Linked DNA regions of Mus musculus. The main gene of each other region encodes a partner of the protein of the gene in region 2 in a complex. Links are inferred from orthologs where the notes say so. Each region holds a gene or a part of one and is shown on either strand. Other genes may lie near its edges.

Region 1 (4,124 bases), on a different chromosome or scaffold from region 2:
GCATCGGATTTCTGTTCCCCCTTAGATGATCTGGTTATAAAAGTAGGTTTTTTTAAAAGGGGTTGTTCTGACCTACTCTTTCAGAATTGAGTAACATTTACATTTTTATTCTGTAGCCTGCCCCTGGTCTCTTCCCTTCCCTGACTGTCTCCCTGGCCTCCAACTCTGGACAATTCTTCTATCCTCCTGAGGGACCCCCCAACCTCATCCAACAGCAGCCCCACCCAGCACAGGCCTTACAGGCATGGCTCTCCACACCTGGGGAAAGGTGCTTTGTCCTGCCAGCGGGTGCCTGGGAACAGCAGGAACAGGGGCCCCCACACGGAACAGCTGCTGAATCTTGTAGCAAACAGTGGAGTAAATCGGTACAACTGGATCCAATTCCAAACACAAACTGGCTTAAAAAAAGGAAACAGCAAGTCCAAATTACTTCGGCTTTTTTTTTTTTTTTTTCTTTTTTAGAGGAAATCCTAAAACTGCTGTAGATTGCAGTGTTGGGAAAACAAGCTCGTGTTTCCAGTTTCTGTACCACTACTTCCCCACTCTGAGCTGTTCAACTCAAGGAGTTCAAGCATTCATGCTGACTCAGTTTTGTCCCCACCGTCAGAACAGAAGTATGACCCAAACGGTACGCTGGGCGGACTAGGAACAGAGACAAGCTGATGTCCGCTTGGCTGTTTCAAGTTTACCAATCCATACTCATTTAGTGCAAACATTGTGTTGGTCAGGTCTATGGAGGTACAAAGAATGACCTTTCCAGAAAGGGCAAACCTAAAATCTCAGCAGAAGGTCTCAAGGTCACTGACCCAGGACAACCCTGGAGACTGGAAACTCCTGGGTCCTGATCCGCACCGGAGGAGGTGGGGGTTCGAGGCCGCGTAGTGAAAGAGCTAGCGTGGGCAGTTCTTTTGTACTCCAGCTGGAGTAAAATGAACGCAGGCTCGCGTGTTTTCATCGCTGGTGACAGCATCCAGCAATGGGAGTAGGGCTCAGGGGCGCGCAGCGGTGCTTTCTCAGCAGGGTCCCCCGAGAAGCCGGAGGAGGGGGTGAGCGCTGCGCCAGAGGACCCGGGAGCCCGGAGGCGAGGGCAGGGGGCGCGGGGCGCGGGGCGCGGACTGGGCTGCGCGCCTGTCCAGGGTGCCGGCAAGCAGGAGCCGCGGCGAGGGAAGGAAGTAGGAAAGAGGAAGGAAAGGCGGGAGGGGCCGGCCGCGCGGCTGCAGTTTCTGCGGCCGGCCTGGTAGGAGGAGCGGGAGGAGCGGGAGGAGGATCCCGAGCCGTCCGTCAGCGGGCGCGGGAGGTGGGGAGAGCGGGAGGAGGAGGAGGATTAAAGATGGCCACCAGCAGCTGCGGGAGACGGCCACCAGCCCTCACTTTCCGGGATGTTCCCCGCGGCCCGGCCCGGCCTTGATGGAGAGGAGCAGCCCGTGCAGTGCCGAGGCTGAGGCGGCGGCGGGGACCCGGCGAGGGAGAAGACGCGGCGGAGCAGGGACCCAGGCGGGAGAAGGGAGCGGCGGCGGCGTCGCTGCCCTGGCTGCCTAGCACGGCTGCCGCCCCGGCCCCGCAGCTCGCGGACTGCAGCGGGCGCTCGGCCCCGGCCCGGCCTGGGGGGACTCCCGGGCCCCACGCCTGGGCCCGCGCGTCCGCGGTGAGTGCTGCCTGCCCGCTCGCCGGCTCGCCCGCGGCGCGCTTTGTTCCTGCGGGGCGGAGGCGCTGTCCGCGCGGGGACAGGCCGCGGCCCAGCCGCTCCCCCACCCGCGTCCTCCTCCGGGCCTGGAGAGGGCGCCGTCGGCGGCTGGTCCCAGGCGGCCGGCGGAGGGGCGTGCGGGGGCCTCGGGGATGGGGAGGCGGGGGCAAGGCGACCGCAGGTCCGGGAGGGCGGGGGCGTAACCCGGCGGCGCCCGGGGTAGGTGGGGGTCATGCCGGTCCCCTCGGGAGGACCCTCCCGGTGCCCATTCCCGGACCCCCCAGCCCCCACCCGCGCGCGCCCGGGCGCAGCGGAGCGCGGCCTCCATCCCTCGGGCGCCGTCTCCAGGGCCGCGGGCCTCTCCTGGCTCATCCCTCTACGCTCTGAGCTGCAAACCCTTCCCTGTGGAAGGGACCTGGGATGCTTCTGTCCTGCATCGGGGATGTGGTGGCATCACCGACATTCGCGGTTATGGCGGGGTTGAAAAGGCAGCGGTGACCTTTCCGACCAGAGCCCTCTGGACCATGGTCGCATCGGAGGTGCTGCGTTCCATTGATTTTTTGACTCTTGAATCGGAGAGACAGATGATGAGTTCTTCCTTTGTAGAAATAATAGGATAGAATCAGATCAAGCAGATGTTTACCGAATGCATGGATTTTCAGTACCTCACCAATGGCTAAGTGTTTTTTCTGTGGGAAAAATGGTGCTTATGCATACGAAAAACTATTTTTGTTCACTAATAGCTATGGGTTGGTCAGTACCAAGTGGTTATTATGGTGTCTGAAAACCCAACAAAAAAAGAAAAACAAAACCCTTGCGTCGAGACAGCAGATTCCAGGCTGGCCTCTATCAAGCAGGTTTAGATCAGTTTTCACTGTCAGGATGTAAAGCAAGTAAAAATAACAAAACAATGAAAAATGTACTTATTTACAGGAAAATGGGATGTGGTATTAGTGTAGAGTCTAGGAGAAAGACTATAGTCTGTTAGTGTATAGATCTAGTCAAAGTAAATCCCTCTTTAAATAAAACTGTCATCATGGGACCCTGCTGTGTAAGAATTAGCTTGATATGCATTTAATGTTTAAAAAAAATCTGTATTTCATTAGGTTTGAGAACTAAAACTTTGAGCAGTTCTGCCTCAAGCAACTAGAAATACAGGTTTTTAAATAGTTTCTCTTTTCCTTAGTTGAAATCTATTCATGTAAAAATATGCTTCTCACAAAAATTTCTCTACAAATGTGCTATGAGTTAAGGAACATGAGGCTTTGAAGTAACTTGGAAAGACATGAAAGAAAGTTAAACCGTAGTGTAATATTCCAGGATCAGATTCTGTACTCTGAGGATGCTGAACTCCACAAGTCTTCACTGTTTACCTCTGGTGTCCTAAATATCACCAAGGTGCTGCATTCAGTGGGGTCTTAGAATTTCTAGAAATTATCCTCAGAATGTAGCCTACATCGGGGCTCCCCCACCCCCATTTGATCTGGAACCACAAAAGATGGTAAACAACTGGGTATCGTAGTTTAAAAAGAGTAAATATCCTACCTGGGTATGGTGACTCATACCTGTTGGCCAGGTACTGGGAGGCTGAGAAGAGCGTGAACGTCTAAGTCTTGTAGATGCAGGCAAGTCTGAGGAAAAAAAATTAGTTTGTGTACTTTCCACCTGTCTCTGTCTAATGCTTGTGATGGAGAGTGTATCAGAGTACCACGGAAAGATGGAGAGGATCCCAGGATAGCATGCATGTAAAGTATTCATCCGTGTATTCTCATTCAGACACGGGGAAGATGCTGATCCCATTGTACAGATGGGGAATTAGGCAACTTTAGGGAAAGTCTAGGACCCAGATTGCCTAAGTTTAGAGCCAGTGATGATCAATGTTTTAGGATACCAATTAGATGTGAAGACCGGAATGGCATGGCATTTTGGAGTCATGGGCTTTCAGTGCAGAGGGCTCAGTGACGGGCTTGCTGGGGTGACCCAGGTATGCACACAGCTCTGCAGCCACACCCCAAAGCTCTTCTCGCTGCATCCCCCTCCCCAACCACCCACCCTCTAGTGTTATTGTTTTCTGTGATTCCAATGGCACAGACCCTTGCGTTTCCATCATGACTGTTGTGTAGAATCTGCTTGTCTGGCGTCTGCTCTGAGTCCCAGCCCCTTCTGCACAGCGGATACTTTTCTCGCCCACAGCACCATTCACAAATTAATGGCCGATTTGGTTTTTTTCAGGTTGGGTTTACTCAGGAATCATCTCCATGTAGTGACGCTTTATCTGAATGTGCAGTTGGGTGGTCTGTCTTACAGACAAGCAGAGGCCATTCATACTTCCCTAGGAAGGCCCTTCATGGCCCTTTGCTTAGTCCTCAGATCCTTGGCAACCATTAATGTCCTCTGTGGAACACCGTCCAGATGCCTCGTGGTGCAGAATGTTGCCTTT
Region 2 (4,216 bases):
CCAGTTACTGTCATTTCAGGTTCACTGCTGATGTCCGATCGGTGCTGAGCCGAAACCTTCACCAACATAGGCTCTGGTGACAGCTGCTCCCCCTCCACCTGAGTTGGGGTGGAGGGGAAAGGGAGGGAGAGTTCTTGGGACACCGTCTGTTGCCCTGTCCAATGTGAGGACTGCCTGGGCAGAGTCTGCCCCTCCCACCCCTCTGCCCTGGGAGCCCTACACTCCACTTATGGAGTCTGGATGGACACATGGGCCAGACCGTGAAGCAGCCTCACTCTGGGTTCACACTCCGTGGAAATGCCAGACTGGGACAGGCGAAGGCCTAGAGGAGCCGAAACAGTCTGGTGAAGAGGCAGGACTGGCCAGAGTGACAGACATATCCCAGAGGCTCAAAAGAAGCCAATTCAACTTTGTTGTGATTTGATTTTTTTAAAAACTCTTATACAAAACTGATCTAATTCTTCACTCCTGCTCCAAGGGCTGGGCTGTGGGTGGGGACTGGGGTTTCGGGCCACTGGATCCTCCTCAGACTTGTCCCCCCCTTACTTTTCCTCATTTTTTTTCTTTCCCCAATCCCCCATACCTGTAATCGGCTCCTTTCTTCTTTCCTCTTTTAAACCATGCATTATAACTTTGAAACCAAAGCTGCCCTAGACCCTTCTCTGATGTTTTTGGAAATGGAGGGAACTTTGTTGACATCTGCTCTGTCCTTGAAGCAGAGGGAGAAGATGCTGTTTGGAGTTGGGGGGAAGTGGGATTTAGCACAGGGATAAAGTAGTTTATGTTCAGTGTTCGGCAGGAAAGGCCCCACTGACTGGATGGAGTCCCTGATGGACAGTGGACCAACAACTTTAAAGTAGGATATAGAAGGCTAAAGAGGGAAAACTCTAGAACCCTGGAAGGGCATACAGCTGGAGAAAGGCTGGGCTTGTCTGGGAAGTTGACGTGGACAGGCTAAGAGGGCGCTGCCTACGAGGTGTTGGCACTCCAGCAGTAACCTGGGGCGGAACCCTCTTTCCTGGCACCTCCTCTCCAGAGCCGGGACTACTTTTCGCCACCCGCCACGTGATTCTCCGCCCTTTTCTGAGGTCACATGATTTTATCTACACTCAGAAATGTGTTCCTCCGCTCTGGTGTAGTCCTTATCTTTGGGGCTTTTGCAGTTTCTCTTGGTTCACATAAGCCTGAGCCTTGAGCATTCCCTGGGTGTCTGCAAACCTCTTTCCTTTCTGTCTTATGGTGTCCATATCCACAGCTTGGGTACTACTTTGTTTTGGTGTCAACGGCCACCTTCAGCGTAGAAACACGTCTCATGAAATCCTAGACTTGTAATTGTCTGCCTTTCCCCAACGTAATTTCCGAGAACTGCAGAACTAAATCTCATGACTGCCACTGGGTACCAGTTTCGTCCTCAACTTTGTACTGTGGGAAAGGGTTTTTCAGTTCACTCGAAACAACAGCAACCTTATCTGCGATGTCATATGTGTAACCCACAAGTTGATTCCAAAGCAGTTACGCTGAAGGCGTAAGAGGACCAGGCTACGGGTTGCGCTAGCAAGCTGAGCTAGTGGCGTATGTTAGCAGGCGGGGCCGGTCCGATGGTCGGGGGCGGGGTTGATGAATAGGGAAGTGGCGCAAATTCGTGGATCGCTCCGCCAAGTCTGTTCGTCGAAGCCGCCTCCGCCGCCGCCCCCTGTCCCGGCCCCCCCCCTGGGTTCCCTCAGCCCAGCTCGGTCCAGCCCGGTTCTCGGGAGAATGAAGTTCGTGTACAAAGAGGAGCATCCGTTCGAGAAGCGCCGCTCTGAGGGCGAGAAAATCCGAAAGAAATACCCAGACCGGGTCCCGGTAAGGACAGTAGCCAGGGCCCAGGCTAGCGTCGCTGACGCTGTCGCCACAGGCTATGCTTGAGTCTGGGAAAGCTGAAGTCAGGCTCTGTCTGTCGTGGGGTTAGAACTCTGTTGTCTCTGGTACCAGAGGTCTCTCACCTGAAGTAGAGCTGGGGACTAAGATGTGGACGGGAGAGAGAGATCAGGGTATTTCTCAGAATAGAGGCCTTAGTGAGCTTGACAACCCAGAGTTTCCATGGCCATCCTCCCAACTAGCTAGATTTAATGTAGATTTTTGACCCAAACAAGTCATCCTGTATTCTCTGGTGAAAATAGTTATTGTGATGCGCCGTTCTAGGATCAGTTCTCAATATTTAGGTAAGAGTGAGGCCAGGAGCTTTGGACCTAATGCTGTGTGCACCACGTATATAAGGATAACTAGAGAAATGAGATTCCAGTAGGTTTCAGTAAAAGGGAATATTGTATGTTGAGTTCTTCATCGATATAGCAGCATATATATGTGTATGTATGTATATATATATATATATATATTCATTTTTCTCATTCTTACCTTTTATCAGGTGATAGTGGAAAAAGCCCCCAAAGCTCGGATAGGAGACCTGGACAAAAAGAAATACCTGGTGCCTTCTGATCTTACAGGTGAGGGCTTGACCTGTGGTGCACGTTTCTTTCTGTGGGTGGGCCTGCCAACTCTGTGGGAGGAGGCTTCACCTGGCAGCTGTTCTCTGGAGGCGCCTACGACCTCTGTGACTTGCTTGCATCTCCTGTTTTTGGCAGTTGGTCAATTCTACTTCTTGATCCGGAAGCGAATTCATCTCCGTGCTGAAGATGCCTTGTTTTTCTTTGTCAACAATGTCATTCCACCCACCAGTGCCACGATGGGTCAGCTGTACCAGGTACAGTACCTTGGAAGGAACGGTAGTGTTTGGAGAGGAAAGTAAAGGCCAGCGGTCGCTGCTGGCTAACTTTAAAATGTCAGTACAGCCCTGCCGTGGGATCTTACTAGCGCTGAGAATAGGGAGGAGTATGAACTGGTGGAGTTGTTCTGACTGGGACTTACTACCTAAGTGAGTCTCTCCAAGAGTCCCAGATGTCAAAGAATAGATTGCGTTTGAGGAGTGGTGGTTGTTGTTGTTACTTTCTGTTCGTTTTCTTTAGGAGACAGGGCTTCTCTGTATAATCCTGGCTGTCCTGGAATCCCCTCTGTAGACCAGGTTGGCCTCTAAACTCCCAGAGACCCACTTGTTTCTGCCTCCCTAGGGCTGGGCTTAACAAAAGGTGTGCGCCACCACTGCCCTAAACTTGACACACAGACCAGGCTGACCTCAGACTCAGAGAGCTTCCTGCTTATGCCTCTTGAGTGCTGGTGTTAGAGTTGTTATAAGTCCTCATCCTGAATGGTGACACATACCTTTGATCCTTTAAATCCAAAGCACAGCTGTTTCTGCACACAGTTTTAATCCGATCATCCAGGAGTCAGAGGCTGGTGGGTCTCTTTTGAGTTTGAGTCTATCCTGATTAGTCAGAGATACTTAGTAGTGAGACCCTGTCTCAAAAAAAAAAATAATAAATAAATAAATAAAAATAAAAATAAAACAATCAAAAATAAAAATCCCCAAATTAAAAACCCTCAAAACCACTGAACGTGGGGCATGATCATGCACAGCTTCAGTCCCAGCACTGTGGAAGCAGAGGAAGGTAGAGGCCGAGGCAGCAGTATCAAGTTGGAAGTTGTTGACTACATAGTATAGTGAGTTTGAGGTCAGCCTCTTTTTTTTTTGTTTGTTTTTTGTTTTTTTGAGACAGGGTTTCTTTGTATAGCCCTGGCTGTCCTAGAACTCACTTTGTAGACCAGGCTGGCCTTGAACTCAGAAATCCGTCTGCCTCTGCCTCCCGAGTGCTGGGATTAAAGGCGTGTGCCACCACACCGGGCAGTGAGGTCAGCCTTTTTCTTTCTTTCTTTCTTTCTTTCTTTCTTTCTTTCTTTCTTTCTTTCTTTCTTTCTTTCTTTTTTTTTTTTTTTTTTTCAGAGACAGGGTTTCTCTGTAAAGCCCTGGCTGTCCTGGAACTCACTTTGTAGACCAGGCTGGCCTCGAACTCAGAAATCCACCTGCCTCTGCCTCCCAAGTGCTGGGATTAAAGGCTTGCGCTTCCAAGCCCAGCTTGTTTTTGTTTTTGTTTTTGTTTGTTTTGTTTTGTTTTGTTTTGTTTTGTTTTTTGAGACATAGTCTTTCTGTGTAGCCCTGGCTGTTCTGGAGCTCACTCTGTAGACCAGGCTGGTTTCTAACTCACAGAGTTCTGCCTGCCTCTGCCTCCAGAGCATTGGGATTGAAGGTGTGCACCACTACCACCCAGTCCAAGTCAGCCTT
Region 3 (3,945 bases), on a different chromosome or scaffold from region 2:
CTTTAGAACCCTGGAGTTCAGTCCCTCTGGTGTAGGGTGTGATCAGAGTCAAGGCTAGTACCTGTGAGTTAAACTCCTGGCTCTGCCAAGGACTATTCCTTAATTACCTCGGAAAGTTGCTTAGATTCTCCTGGTCTGTTTCTTTAACTGTAAAAGGAGGATGCTACCTACCTTTTGGGTTTATTGTAAAGATTAAAAGGCAGCACAGTGCTTGGCATATGGTAAGTGTTCAGTGTCAGCTGGCAGTCTGGAAGAAGCAACCGTAGGTGCCCCTTCTTCTTTCCCTCCCCTCCCTCGGAGTCTCCTGTAGCTCAAGCTGCCTTTCAAACTCTTGAACCCATTTCTATCTACCAAGTGGTGAGATGAAAGGCAGGTACATGTAATCTCAGTTTCTCCACATGTAAATCAGGACTAACAATCCCTGCCCTGTCTGTCACTCTTTCCCCCCTGACCTGTTCCGGTAGCAACGTGGACTAAATAAGGTATGTAAACGTTCTAAGCCGAGCTGTCTCCAGGTCAATGTTTATTCAGCTTAGAGCAATTTCTTTCCAAGTCCTACGCTGGCCAGATTTCCTGTCAGCCCCATCAATTCTCTAACACTCGCAGGTGCTCCTTTGTAACCGCGGAAGGGGCAAGGTCCGCTCAAGCCCACCGTAAAAAGGAGCGGGGAAAACAAAAAACATAGAGGAGGGAGAGCAGGCAAGTAGGGCAGTGTAGAGAAGTGGGGTAAAAGGACAAGGAGGGTAAAAGGGACTTACAGATGGAGCGCGGCGGGGGTGGGTGGGGTGGGTGTCCTGCACCTAAGATGCAGGAGAAGGGATGTGCGGAGCTCTGGGGCAAGTGAGGGAGCAGGGATGTGTGCGGAAAAAGCAGCGAGGTGGGATTCTTGAGGAAGAATTGGGGGGTCGCTTTCAGTGTGAGGTCTGTGGGTAACTGGGGGCAGGGAATTCGGGCCGTCACCTCCACTCAGACAGAGGCTCCGAGAGCAGCTCCCGGGCTACAGCCACCCGCTGGCAAACCGCGGAGGGGCGGGGAAAGAGCATTCGGCGCCTGTGATTGGCTGCCGTCCCGACGGCCGCTGACGCGAGCGGGCGGGCCCCTTTGTGACGTCACAATCAGCTGTTGAAGCGTTCGGATTTGTGCCCTGAGCCCGGGCGCAGCGGCCGCAGCAGCTCCGGGCGTCCGTTCGGGAGCCCCGCCGTCTCTCGGCCCGTCCCCGGTATGCGGCTCCAGTTGTGAGCACCGGCGACCCGGGGACGCCCGGCCGCACAACTACCTCAGCGCAGCGGTTGCTGCAGCGGCCCCAGGTGAGTCCCGACCTCCGGGCTGGGGGCTCCGGGCACCCCCAGGACACGCCCTGCGCCCCCCTCTCCCGTTCTTTGTCTGTCTCCGCCGGCGGCAGCCGGAGCTGCGTTCTTGGCTCCCTATTGGTTGCTCCAAGCCGGTAGGCCATGACGTTGCTTTATTTGCATATGACATTGAGACGTCACCAAGGCCAGCCCCGCCTTCCAGGCTTGCATGGGTGCTTGTCCTCTGGTGACCCGGTGGGCGCTATGTCGTGCCCAGCCGGCCGAGGGTTGAAGAGACGCTGAAAGACAAGCGGGATCCGAAGGGACTCGGCGGTTTCCTGGGCTAATCTAGGGACTGGGGTCAGGCCTCTCATTTGTTTTTTCCTTGTGACCTGAGAGAGGGTAGGACAGCAAAGCTCGATTTAAGTTGAGAGGGCGGTAAGTAGATGGAGCTTCAGACTCCAGGTCCTGGAGACACTACCAGATGGTAGCGGATCCCCTCTGTCTTCAGGCTCCGCCCCCTAACATAATAACATCCTTCTAATCCCTGACATGTGTGCAGAGCCTGAGTTGATGTCATTTTCAGCCTACAAATATTGAGGGTCTTAAGCCCCACTTCACGGAAGAGGAAACTGAGACTCAGAGAGACGTAGTTTACTGGAGATCTCAGCCAATTAGAATCACACTCACTAAGTGGTAGATTCCTTAGCTGAAGTATAAGCTACATGCTTACATACATCTACTGAGGACCCTATCTTGGGTTCAGCACCAACCACAATTTGATGGGATGCTTCAGTCTTCATGATCCTGGACATTTTCCCAGGAGGTCTCTGAAAATTGGGTCTCTTACAAGGCCCTGACCTCCTCTGCCTTCTTTCTACTTCAAAACCCAATAAATGGCCGTCTCCCAGCTGTTTTGACCACAGAAAGGTGAGTCACTAGTTGCCTGCCTCCAGGTGTCTCCAGGGCAGATGTTGTTGAGAGGGAGTTGGGAGTTCCCTCTGTGGGCCTCCCATCAGAGCTGTCAGCTGGGAGAACCAGACCCTTCCCTGGCATTAGTGATGCAGAGCTTATGCTGTTTCCTGAGGCTGCTTCCAGAGTGACAGAAGGATGTCTCTTACTTTCCAAGTAAGTAGATCTGGAGTCCTTCCCAGGTTGAGGGTCGCTCAAGAATGGCCTGGGCTAGGGTTGGCTTAGGCCTCCAGTGCTATTCTAGGCACAGCCTCTGTAGTATTAAGGGAATGGTTCTTCCTGGAGCAGAGCCAGGAATCTGAGAACCAGGAAGCCAGCAGGCTAGGAAAGAAAACCCAGGAGGCTCTCCTAGTGGTCAAAGGAGGGGGGCAGTCATAGCTGGCTGGTTGCTACCATCTCTCCTGGCTGTCACTCACTTCTGTATGATCTCCACCAGGGAGCTTCTCACTTGACATGTCAACAGTTGAAAAGGCTCATTGCAGGGACTGGTGCACAGTGTGAACCCTGGGAAATGCATGCAAAAGTTTGATGCCAGGGACCAGAGATCTACAGGGACCAGAGACCAGGGCCTGTGTCTGATTTCCCTGTTTCCTGTGTATTATATTTTTGGATATTACCTGTTGAGGTTTTTCTGATTGTATGTATTCTGCATTGCCACACCACCACTAAGCTATAGCTTTATTGGGTAGATTCATGTTCCCAATTTGATATCACCATCCCTAAAACAGGAGACTTGTTGTCTTGGTCCAGGGAAGGAGGCTTGGGTTTGAAGGCTTGGATCTTGGTCCAAAGCTTGTGTTTATCCTCAAGGGATCCCTGGATCTGACAGCTTCCTTCTTCCACTGTCTATCACTGACATGTGGTCTCACTGGACAGGATTCTTTCTCTTGGCTAGTGATGCTGAGTTTGAACAAGAGTCTAGGGGAAAGGGGAGTTAGAGTAGTGGGGCAGACCTGTAGGCACAGGTCCTCCTCATCTGAGGGTTGCCCAATCTCATGGTAAGATTGTAGAACTGAGCCGGGCGTGGTGGCACTCGCCTTTAATCCCAGCACTCGGGAGGCAGAGGCAGGCGGATTTCTGAATTCGAGGCCAGCCTGGTCTACAAAGTGAGTTCCAGGACAGCCAGGGCTACACAGAGAAACCCTGTCTCGAAAAACCCAAAAAAAAAAAAAAAAAAAAAAAGATTGTAGAACTGTAGTGATTACGGATGCTATTAGGTTCAAATACTACCTGTGTCTTTCACTAGCTGTGAGACTTTAGGTAGTTATCTTATTTCGCTGGGCCTTTTAAAAAAATTAATTAATTAAATGTATGTGAGTACACTGTTGTTGTCTTCAGCCACACCAGAAGAGAGCATCCGATCCCATCACAGCTGGTTGTGAGCCACCATGTGGTTGCTGGGAATTGAACTCAGGACCTCTGGAAGAACAGTCGGTGCTCTTGACTACTGAACCATCTCTCCAGCTCTCTGGGCTTTGTTTTATTTATCTCTCTATCAGAAAAAATTTTTTCTCTTCCTCCCACTCCTTTTCAGTCCCTTTGACAGGATCTTATGTAGCCAGGAACTATTTTTTTTTTTTTTTTTTTTTTTTTTAGGTAGGGCCCCATGTAGTTCAGACTGGCCTTTAACTCACTATGTAGCCTAAGCAGGACTTGGACTCTGATCCCCCTGCCTCTACCTTCT
Region 4 (4,267 bases), on a different chromosome or scaffold from region 2:
TTCAGGGTTGTCAATTTCTGGGTGTATCCAGGTACCCTTGTAATCTGGGTTGTCAATTTGACGTGGTTTCCACTCGCCCTGTAGAAGAAAACCAGATGAATAGAGAGGCAGACACATCCCACAGTACAGCCAACAACCCCGACTAGGACCCCAAGGCCTATCTTGGTTTGTTTCTGCAGTGCAACATTAATCATAGCACCCAAGGAAACATCCCACCAGGGAGCCACACCCAAACACCCAAGCCTACCTTGTATTCAGGATTTTGAATCACTGGTGGTTCCCACTCTCCATCCATCTCTTCATCCCAGTCCTCAGGCTTCTTAGCATCAGGGTCAGGGATGTGCTCTGGCTTGTCCCAGTCCTAGGAGTACACGTGGAGGTCAAAGTGGACCCAGATGTCCTCCATTCTATGACAGAGGTGGAGCTACCCTCCCAACACTAACCTCAGGCTTGGAATCTGTGGGGTCATCGATCTTGGCTCGTTCATCCCAGTCTTCCGGCTTGGCAGCATCAGGGTCCTTTATCTTCTTGGGTGGCAGAAAGTCCCAATCATCCTCCAAGGAGCCTGACTCCACCTGGCTGTTGTCAATTTTCACCTCATAGGTGTTGTCTGGCCGCACAATCAGTGTGTATAGGTGTGTGAATTCATCATCCTGAAGAGGGAAGGAGGTGAGCAGTCCCTCCCACCAGGCTGCCGGGACCTCCCATGACAGCCATTTAAATGACTACCCCAGGCACACCTTACACCGGATATCCTTGTTGATCAGCACATTCTTGCCCTTGTAGTTAAAGATGACATGAACCTTCTTGGTGCCAGGACCGCAGATGTCCGGACCTATGTAGGAAGCATATGCAGGCTGATGGCAGGCTCTATCCTTTGAGAAAGGGAGACCTAACCTCATCTATTTGTGACTATATACCATGCATACACAGGAGCCTGCAGAGGTCTGAAGTGGGCACGGGAGTCACAGGACACTGTGTGAGTGCTGGGAACTGAGCTTGTGTTCTCTGAAACCACTGAATTCTATCTCCAGCTCTTATTTTATTTTTGACAGAGGAGACTGTTACATTTAACTGAAGCTGCCTTTAAAGTTCTGATCTACTTCAGTGGTCTGAATGCTGGAATTACACATATACACAGCCATCGCTATCCAGAAATAAAAACCTGTTTTGGTTGGGGTTTGTTTGTTTTTTTGAGACAGGTTCTCTATACAAAGTCCTAACTGTTCAGGAACAGTTATACATCTGACTTCAATGCATCCATTAAAGGCATAAAAGACTACAAATCTGAAACGATTACCATTCTGGGGCCAGCAAATGGCTCAGTGGTAAATTAGGTACTTGCCACTAAGCCTGACAATCCAAATTTGATCCTAGAACCCAGATGACAAAAGAGATTTCCAAAGTTGCCCTCTGACCTTCACACTAGCACACCCTTTCATACTTGAGTACAGAAGAAATATGCACATGCTCAGATTTTTCACTGATTTTTAGACCCTGTCATTAGCATCATTTCTAAAATTATTAACACGTAGAAAATATCATACAAATGAACAATATAAGTCTTCAAGTAATATTGTACACCAACTAATAAAGTTGTCCTTCAGGACAAAAATTTTCATCATTCAAGTGCTTTCCATGGTATGAAGATCAGCATTCTGGTTACAAAGGGTTTCAGTCTGCACCCACTGTCCAACCGGCAGAGGTCAGCACTGGCTGGGGGCCCCTCACCAAACATGATGTTATATTCTGAGTCTCCATGCATGTCCTTCTGGTCCAAACCACTCGGAAACAGCTTCACGTAGCCGCCCCCACAGTCGATATTCTGCTCATGCTTCACCGTGAACTGTACCACCAGTGTCTGGCCCTTATTGCTGAAGGGTTCGAATTTGGCGGACAGTGCGTAAAATCGGGCATCTTGGCTTGTCTGCAGCCCTGTGATGAAATGGGACTGTCATCAGGTGAACCCGGAATACCCTAGACCTAGAGGGGCACGGCTGACCTCCCTTCCTTCCTCCACCTGTCCTTGGCTCCCGTGTTCCTGGGAAAAGCCCCAACAAGATGTATGTGCTGACTACAGCTTCCTCCAGGAAGTTGTCCTGCACCCACTCCCTTGTACCTTTATCCTTCTCCAGGTCCCCGTAAAATTTGCCAGAACTGAGGACAAATTTGCCAAAATCGGACTTATGTTTGGATTCGACCCAGCGGTTGGTCCAGGCATCTGAAAGGGAAGGGCATAGAGTCAGATTAGCGGGGCCGTCCGACCCCCGCCCCCATAACCAACGTCTGTCAGGAGCTACAAGCAGGTGGGGGTGGGGAAGGGGATTCCCATCCCAACCTCAAACTTGACATCTCGATGGGCTTCAGGTCCTTGGACGAATCCTAACTCTGGGGGCGGGAAACGGCTGAGCCTTCCTAGTCCCACAAGGACGCACACATGGAACCGCCCGCGGCCCTAGTCCCTCTGGGGCCACAGTGTTGGCCCTCTGAACGGTAATTACATTACACACGACGAGGCAGCCGAGGTCTCGGGGCCCAGCAGTCGCTAAGCGGCCTCGAGACGGGCCCAGACCTTACCTCCGTCCAAGAACTGCTCTTTGAAATAGATGGCAGGGTCTGCGGCGGCCAGGCCGAGGAGGCCAAGCAGGAGCGGCACCGAAAGGAGCATGGCGGGCCGAGGGGGCGGCGGCACACAGGCCTTTTAAGACGATCTTCAGGCAGCGGCTCTGCGGTATTGACGGACGCGGCCACCGCCGCTTCAATTTATATTCACCTACCTCTCACCCGAACCTGACACAGCCGCTGAGCCCGCCCCTCGGTCCTTTTGACTGGTTTAGACCTACAGCTGTCCCTTTCCATTGCTTCCCAGTTGGCTCAGCAAGTTAGGCTGTGGCTCGGAACGCTGGGATCCCAGATGGCTGATTTCTATTGGTCGCACTATGGGCCAATGAGGGTCGACCACGCGTTGTGGGGGACGCCCCCTGGTGGGGTGGGGGCCGCTAGCCCACTCAGGCACGGTCACGTGACTGAACCTCAGCCCAACCCCGCCCTTGCTGCTGAGAGTCTCTGGCTCGCTAGGAGTCGTTTAAAGAATCCGCGCGAGCGGTACCAGGTGTTAACCGTGCGGTGCGGGACCGAGACGGGTCCTTAGCTTCGGCCCTTTCCCATCCTCTCTGGTCAGAGGGAAGAAGTAAGGATTATTTGCAACTTTCACGTTCCGTCTGTCCTGCACCTAGGGAACGCCCACCGATGGCGAGCGTTTCCTATTCAGGATAAGGTCAAGGGCCAGCCAGGATCCTGAGGTTTCGCTGCATTCTGGTTCCACAGTTGTTCAGGCCATAGAGAACGTACCAGCTTTCTCCTCTCGTCCCGTAGTTCCCTGCAGCCTGTGTGACATGATACAAGTCATTTCGCCTCCCTGAAATGTCAGAAGCCAACAGGGGTGACCCTGAGCTATCTTGACAGAAATGCTTTTAAACCTTTTAGGGCTGTCCACGGTTCAAGAGCAGGAAACACAGAAGTCTCAGGGGTGTGAGTGTAAGCGTGTTTTCTTGGGTGAGAAGTAGGGGTTTTTTGATTTTTGTTTTTTTTTTTTTTCTCTTTCTCTTAAGCTGGAGAATGAAAGGAGTCACTTCTTGTGGTCTCCCACAAACGACTTGGCTTTTGCAATAAACGGCAGAAGGCAAGGGGTGCCGTTTGAGGAGGAAAAAGGACACAGATGGCTATGGTGATAGTTCTAGTGAGATAAGCAGGACCCTTGGATCTGGAGTCCTCTGACTCAAATCATGTGACTCTGCCTGCTGCCTGGAGGAGGAAGAACAGTACCTGTAGGGGATGGGGGATGGGAGGTGTTTCCAAACTGAGGAATTGGGAACCCTGAAACAAGACTATGAACTGCGCAGAAGGAATCCTTACAAAAATGGCGTGCTTCCTTTGCAGTGAGAGGAACTCAGTCAAGCAATGACACTTGAGGTCAAGAAGCTGGGTCTCCACCCTGTCCCCCAGGCAGTGTACAGAACTCAGCATTGCTGGTGAAGGTCCCACTGGAGGACACCCAAGTTCAACATGATCTTGACAGACCTGTGACTGACCTGACCCTCCCTCCAGTCCTGTGCCACTGACACATATGCTTGATGCCTTCTGCTTTGTCCTAGTACCCAAGACGGTGAGTGAAGCAGGGGTCAAAAGTTCAGTTCTCAGCTGCATAGTGAGTTTGAGGCCAGCCTGGGTTAAATGATACACTGCTTTAACACAATGAAATAAAGGA
Region 5 (3,508 bases), on a different chromosome or scaffold from region 2:
CATAGAGAAACAAAGCTATACACGTTCAGTTTTGGGTTTATATGTATTTAGAGTAAAGTATAATTGCATATTTTTTGCCTTTTATGTTTTAAAATTTTATTTTATGTGTATGAGTGTCTGTCTATGAGTATGTCTATGCACTATATGTGCAGTGCCAGAAAGGGCCAGAAAATGGTGTCAGACGCCCTGGAACTGGAGTTACTGACGGTTGCAAGTCATCACGTGGGTGCTGGGAGCCAAACCTGGTTCCTCTGGAAGAGCAGCCAGTGCTCTTACCCTCTCCAGCCTTGTATGTGTTTACTTTTAAAAAGAACGGAATCTGTTGTAAAAGCGTTCTTCAATGTTCCCCTTTAGGTGTTTCTGTTTGAGAGAAGAGAGCTGCTGCAAGAGGAAGTAGCGGCTCATCAGGCTTCAGGATGTCTGAAGATGAGGAAAAGGTGAAGTTACGCAGGCTTGAGCCAGCGATACAGAAATTCACTAAGATCGTGATCCCAACAGACCTGGAGAGGCTAAGAAAACACCAGATAAACATCGAGAAGGTGAGTGTTTCATTTCTATCACAGAAGCAGGTACCTGTGTGGGTTCTTCCTTGCTGTCTACGTTTCAGCTACAAGGAGAGTCTGAGGCTTTTCTGAGACCCCTCCACCCTGCTTATAGCAGCATTACTTTTCAACTGGTCTTCAAGTTCACAATTGTAATTCTCAAATATTCCTTTTATTATGTTGAGGAAGGGAGATGGGAGTAGAGTTTATGCCTTTTTAATTTACATGTGGAGGTCTTAGATAGTAATTAAATCACACTGTTTGATGGTGCCCCATAGTGTGAAGGTGGGGTGCTGTGGCTAATGGACCTGCCTTAATCTCATTCACCCCATGGCTAGTGTTTTGAACTTGTGCCTATCAAGAACTTCTATCCTCTTCAGGTGCACATGTAAACGATGTAAACAATTGTGTGATGTGAGGGAATTTCCTTTCTTCACTGCTTCTCTTTGACAAAGGATCCAAATTGAGAAGTTCTGCCAAGGCAGATGAGCTGCTCAGAGGCCCTGCCCTGGCCAGGGTGTGATGTGGGCCTGTGATGTTTACCGAAGCCTCAGGTTTACTGAGAACTGAGCTTTGACTTGGAAAGGTGGGTTGTCATCTGCTTTCAGCACTGAGCTGTGTCTACCTCTACTTCTTTATTTTTATTTTTATTTTTATTTTTATTTTAGGGTTAGAATGGATGGTGTGGTTATTAAGCCTTTCAGTATCAGCTGTATTTACTAAAAATACCAAAGTTTTTCTTCTACTGATTTTTCTAGTATTTAAGTGCTTTTAAAAAACACAAAAATTAATTTCTAAGATGTCTACAATGAAACTTTCTCTAGGAGTCTTCTAGAATTCAGGATTAATATTTTTCCATCCCCATTTCTTCTCTTCTTTATATATGGAGCATAAGCGATGGCTCTATTGCATCAGGATACAGAAGGAAGTATCTGCTAAACTGCTTCTTGCACTGGAAGAAAGTGAAAGCTCAAAAAAACACGGCTAATGAAACCTTTTACCTTGAGTTGAGCAATCCAAAGTAAACACGTCAGCTTCAATATTTCTCCATTACAAAGGATAAGAATTAGGTAGATGAACTGAATCTGAAAGGGAGAAACAAGAGGTCTGTGAGCTCTTAAAGCCATTTCCCCCTTTATTGTCCTACTCTAAGTTTGACATTTAACATATGTTTCTCATTTTGCATGGAAATGCCTGTTGTCATTGCCCTTCAATCCTAGCTACAAGTGTATGTGATCCTATCAATGGGAAAGGGGGAACCCCACAGCAAATCGGAGGAATAGGGAATAGGGTTAGATGCATTGGTGATTGGATTAGCTGTACAAGGTGTAGTAAGAGAATTACCCTGGAGTTAGTGCCATCGATCCTGCTTTGCCTGAACATGTTTCTTTTAGCAGTTTTGCTTATTATGAAACCTTCAGACGTTATCAGATGATTATCCTGGACAGATAGATGGTAATGTCTAAAACCAAGAAAGTAGGCTCATACTGATTTATGCTTTTGTCTTTAAATATCCTTGAACATTCACTGTCTGCAGGGTTTCTAGTTTGCTTATGAAAACTCCTCTTTCTGTGCACAGGCTTGAATGGTGCATTTTGGTGGCTAGGCTGTGTTATGAAGCACACTTAAAACTGCAGCCCCTCACTCTGTTCAAAAGAGTTAAGAACTAAATTCAGGCTCCAGGTGTCTTACGTGCCTTACTTTAAAAGAGGCATATTCTTCTTGAGGAAAAGGTGTAGAAAGATAAAATATTTATTATTCTGGCCATCAGTCATCCAATATGAATTTAAAAGAAGAAAGCCAGACTGAAGGGAAATTGAAGGTAAGCCTTTTGTAGAGTGAGTCTGCAACAATGAAAACAAAGAGAGCAGTGTGCTGGGGACACCTGGGCCATGTGCATAGCCCTGCAGGGGGACCCTGGACACATGATGAGTGTTGCTAGCATGGGATGCTGACGTTTGAAGCCTTAATGTGTGAGAGGTGTAGTCCAGTAAGGAGGAACTGCAGGGTAGCCAACTTGGGACACAGTTGTCTTTGTTTCATATTGTTGGGATCTAAAGAGAAACATACTGTGTGGGATGTACACAGGGTTCTTGTGAATTAGTTTATGGGTAAGATGCAAGTGGCAGAAACCCCCTAAGTGGCTTATCAGATAAGGTGGAGTTTGTTTGCCTTGGATTTGCCTCCGTCTCATCTCTCATGGCGGTGGAAGTTGTCCATTACCTGCAGGCATGTCCCTCACACCAAGCTTCATCCTCCTAATGATCTTATTAGGGCTTTTTCATTTTGAAGGTAAATTCCTCAGTAAAGAAGGTGCAGGAAGTATGGCGCTGAATAATTTTACTTTCTGTCTTACATCTGTTAATGACACGCACCCCATCATTTGCCTCCTGTTTTACATCTGTTAATGACATGCACCCCATCATTTCCCTCCATCCAAGCTTTGTTCTTTGTTCAAATCTCCCAGCTCTGATTCTTCCTGTGGGGTATGCTCTGTAATGTCATCACTTCATATTAAACGCACTATCTTGACACAGCCTGTTTACAGATTTAATACCTGTGTTTTAACTGCAGTCTACCTATTGGAGTTATTTTATCAGAGGTGAGGCTATAGTAGGGATAAAGTGGGGGGCTAAGAGGGCTGAGTGTACTATGCATTATATGACCATCCATCTGACCTAAGTGAAGGAACGTGAACAGGAAGACAGCAGAGAGCACCAAGGGATTCCTGGCCCGGGCTGCTTGCAGTATCCCATCTCATCTTTGTCCTTATTAGGTTTGGAGTCCAGGATCCCCAGCTGGCCCTGCAGAGAGGGTTATCGTCCATGGTCATGGACAGTTGCTTGAGCATGTAGGGATGTAATGTGGCAACTACTTGCAACTCCCAACAATTGCTCTCTCCCTACTACACTCTGTAGGGAGTTGCCTGTACCTAGTAGCTCTGGATGCCCACCCTTCCTGGAGTA

The links.
Region 1: the proteins of Gabarap (region 2) and Wdfy3 are in contact, whole or in part, in a crystal structure (PDB 3WIM), measured with the Homo sapiens proteins. The link is inferred for Mus musculus from reciprocal best matches to the Homo sapiens genes GABARAP and WDFY3. Residues at the interface, in NP_009209.1 of Homo sapiens: Glu17, Ile21, Lys24, Tyr25, Arg28, Pro30, Lys46, Lys48, Tyr49, Leu50, Val51, Pro52, Asp54, Leu55, Leu63, Lys66, Arg67, Phe104; in NP_055806.2 of Homo sapiens: Glu3342, Lys3343, Asp3344, Gly3345, Phe3346, Ile3347, Phe3348, Val3349, Asn3350, Tyr3351, Ser3352.
Region 3: the proteins of Gabarap (region 2) and Trp53inp2 are in contact, whole or in part, in a crystal structure (PDB 8T31), measured with the Homo sapiens proteins. The link is inferred for Mus musculus from reciprocal best matches to the Homo sapiens genes GABARAP and TP53INP2. Residues at the interface, in NP_009209.1 of Homo sapiens: Tyr5, Glu17, Ile21, Tyr25, Arg28, Pro30, Val31, Ile32, Lys46, Lys48, Tyr49, Leu50, Val51, Pro52, Asp54, Leu55, Gln59, Leu63, Arg67, Phe104; in NP_001316358.1 of Homo sapiens: Glu31, Val32, Asp33, Gly34, Trp35, Leu36, Ile37, Ile38, Asp39, Leu40, Pro41.
Region 4: the proteins of Gabarap (region 2) and Calr are in contact, whole or in part, in a crystal structure (PDB 3DOW), measured with the Homo sapiens proteins. The link is inferred for Mus musculus from reciprocal best matches to the Homo sapiens genes GABARAP and CALR. Residues at the interface, in NP_009209.1 of Homo sapiens: Glu17, Ile21, Tyr25, Arg28, Pro30, Val31, Ile32, Lys48, Tyr49, Leu50, Val51, Pro52, Leu55, Phe60, Leu63, Ile64, Arg67, Phe104; in NP_004334.1 of Homo sapiens: Asp199, Trp200, Asp201, Phe202, Leu203, Pro204, Pro205.
Region 5: the proteins of Gabarap (region 2) and Stx17 are in contact, whole or in part, in a crystal structure (PDB 7BV4), measured with the Homo sapiens proteins. The link is inferred for Mus musculus from reciprocal best matches to the Homo sapiens genes GABARAP and STX17. Residues at the interface, in NP_009209.1 of Homo sapiens: Tyr5, His9, Lys13, Glu17, Lys20, Ile21, Arg28, Pro30, Lys46, Lys47, Lys48, Tyr49, Leu50, Pro52, Leu55, Gln59, Phe60, Phe62, Leu63, Lys66, Arg67, Phe104; in NP_060389.2 of Homo sapiens: Ala169, Glu170, Ser171, Trp172, Glu173, Thr174, Leu175, Glu176, Asp178, Leu179, Glu181, Leu182.

The regions. Positions count from the first base shown.
Region 1 is NC_000071.6:102,067,117-102,071,240, reverse strand, and holds the start of Wdfy3 (WD repeat and FYVE domain-containing protein 3), read left to right. Parts: upstream 1-1,319; 5' UTR 1,320-1,645; intron 1,646-2,879; exon of another isoform or gene 2,880-4,124. UniProt on the Homo sapiens protein: Required for selective macroautophagy (aggrephagy). Acts as an adapter protein by linking specific proteins destined for degradation to the core autophagic machinery members, such as the ATG5-ATG12-ATG16L E3-like ligase, SQSTM1 and LC3.
Region 2 is NC_000077.6:69,989,958-69,994,173, forward strand, and holds the start of Gabarap (gamma-aminobutyric acid receptor-associated protein), read left to right. Parts: upstream 1-1,412; 5' UTR 1,413-1,755; coding exon 1,756-1,845; intron 1,846-2,407; coding exon 2,408-2,486; intron 2,487-2,624; coding exon 2,625-2,743; intron 2,744-4,216. Other genes in the region: Ctdnep1 (CTD nuclear envelope phosphatase 1), read left to right, coding at 20-80. UniProt on the Homo sapiens protein: Ubiquitin-like modifier that plays a role in intracellular transport of GABA(A) receptors and its interaction with the cytoskeleton.
Region 3 is NC_000068.7:155,380,711-155,384,655, forward strand, and holds the start of Trp53inp2 (tumor protein p53-inducible nuclear protein 2), read left to right. Parts: upstream 1-1,145; 5' UTR 1,146-1,307; intron 1,308-1,485; exon of another isoform or gene 1,486-2,219; intron 2,220-3,945. UniProt on the Homo sapiens protein: Dual regulator of transcription and autophagy. Positively regulates autophagy and is required for autophagosome formation and processing.
Region 4 is NC_000074.6:84,844,131-84,848,397, forward strand, and holds the start of Calr (calreticulin precursor), read right to left. Parts: upstream 2,802-4,267; 5' UTR 2,669-2,801; coding exon 2,578-2,668; intron 2,222-2,577; coding exon 2,120-2,221; intron 1,936-2,119; coding exon 1,732-1,935; intron 836-1,731; coding exon 741-835; intron 654-740; coding exon 444-653; intron 362-443; coding exon 248-361; intron 79-247; coding exon 1-78. UniProt on the Homo sapiens protein: Calcium-binding chaperone that promotes folding, oligomeric assembly and quality control in the endoplasmic reticulum (ER) via the calreticulin/calnexin cycle.
Region 5 is NC_000070.6:48,131,411-48,134,918, forward strand, and holds part of Stx17 (syntaxin-17), read left to right. Parts: intron 1-352; exon of another isoform or gene 353-354; 5' UTR 355-416; coding exon 417-539; intron 540-927; exon of another isoform or gene 928-1,128; intron 1,129-3,508. UniProt on the Homo sapiens protein: SNAREs, soluble N-ethylmaleimide-sensitive factor-attachment protein receptors, are essential proteins for fusion of cellular membranes.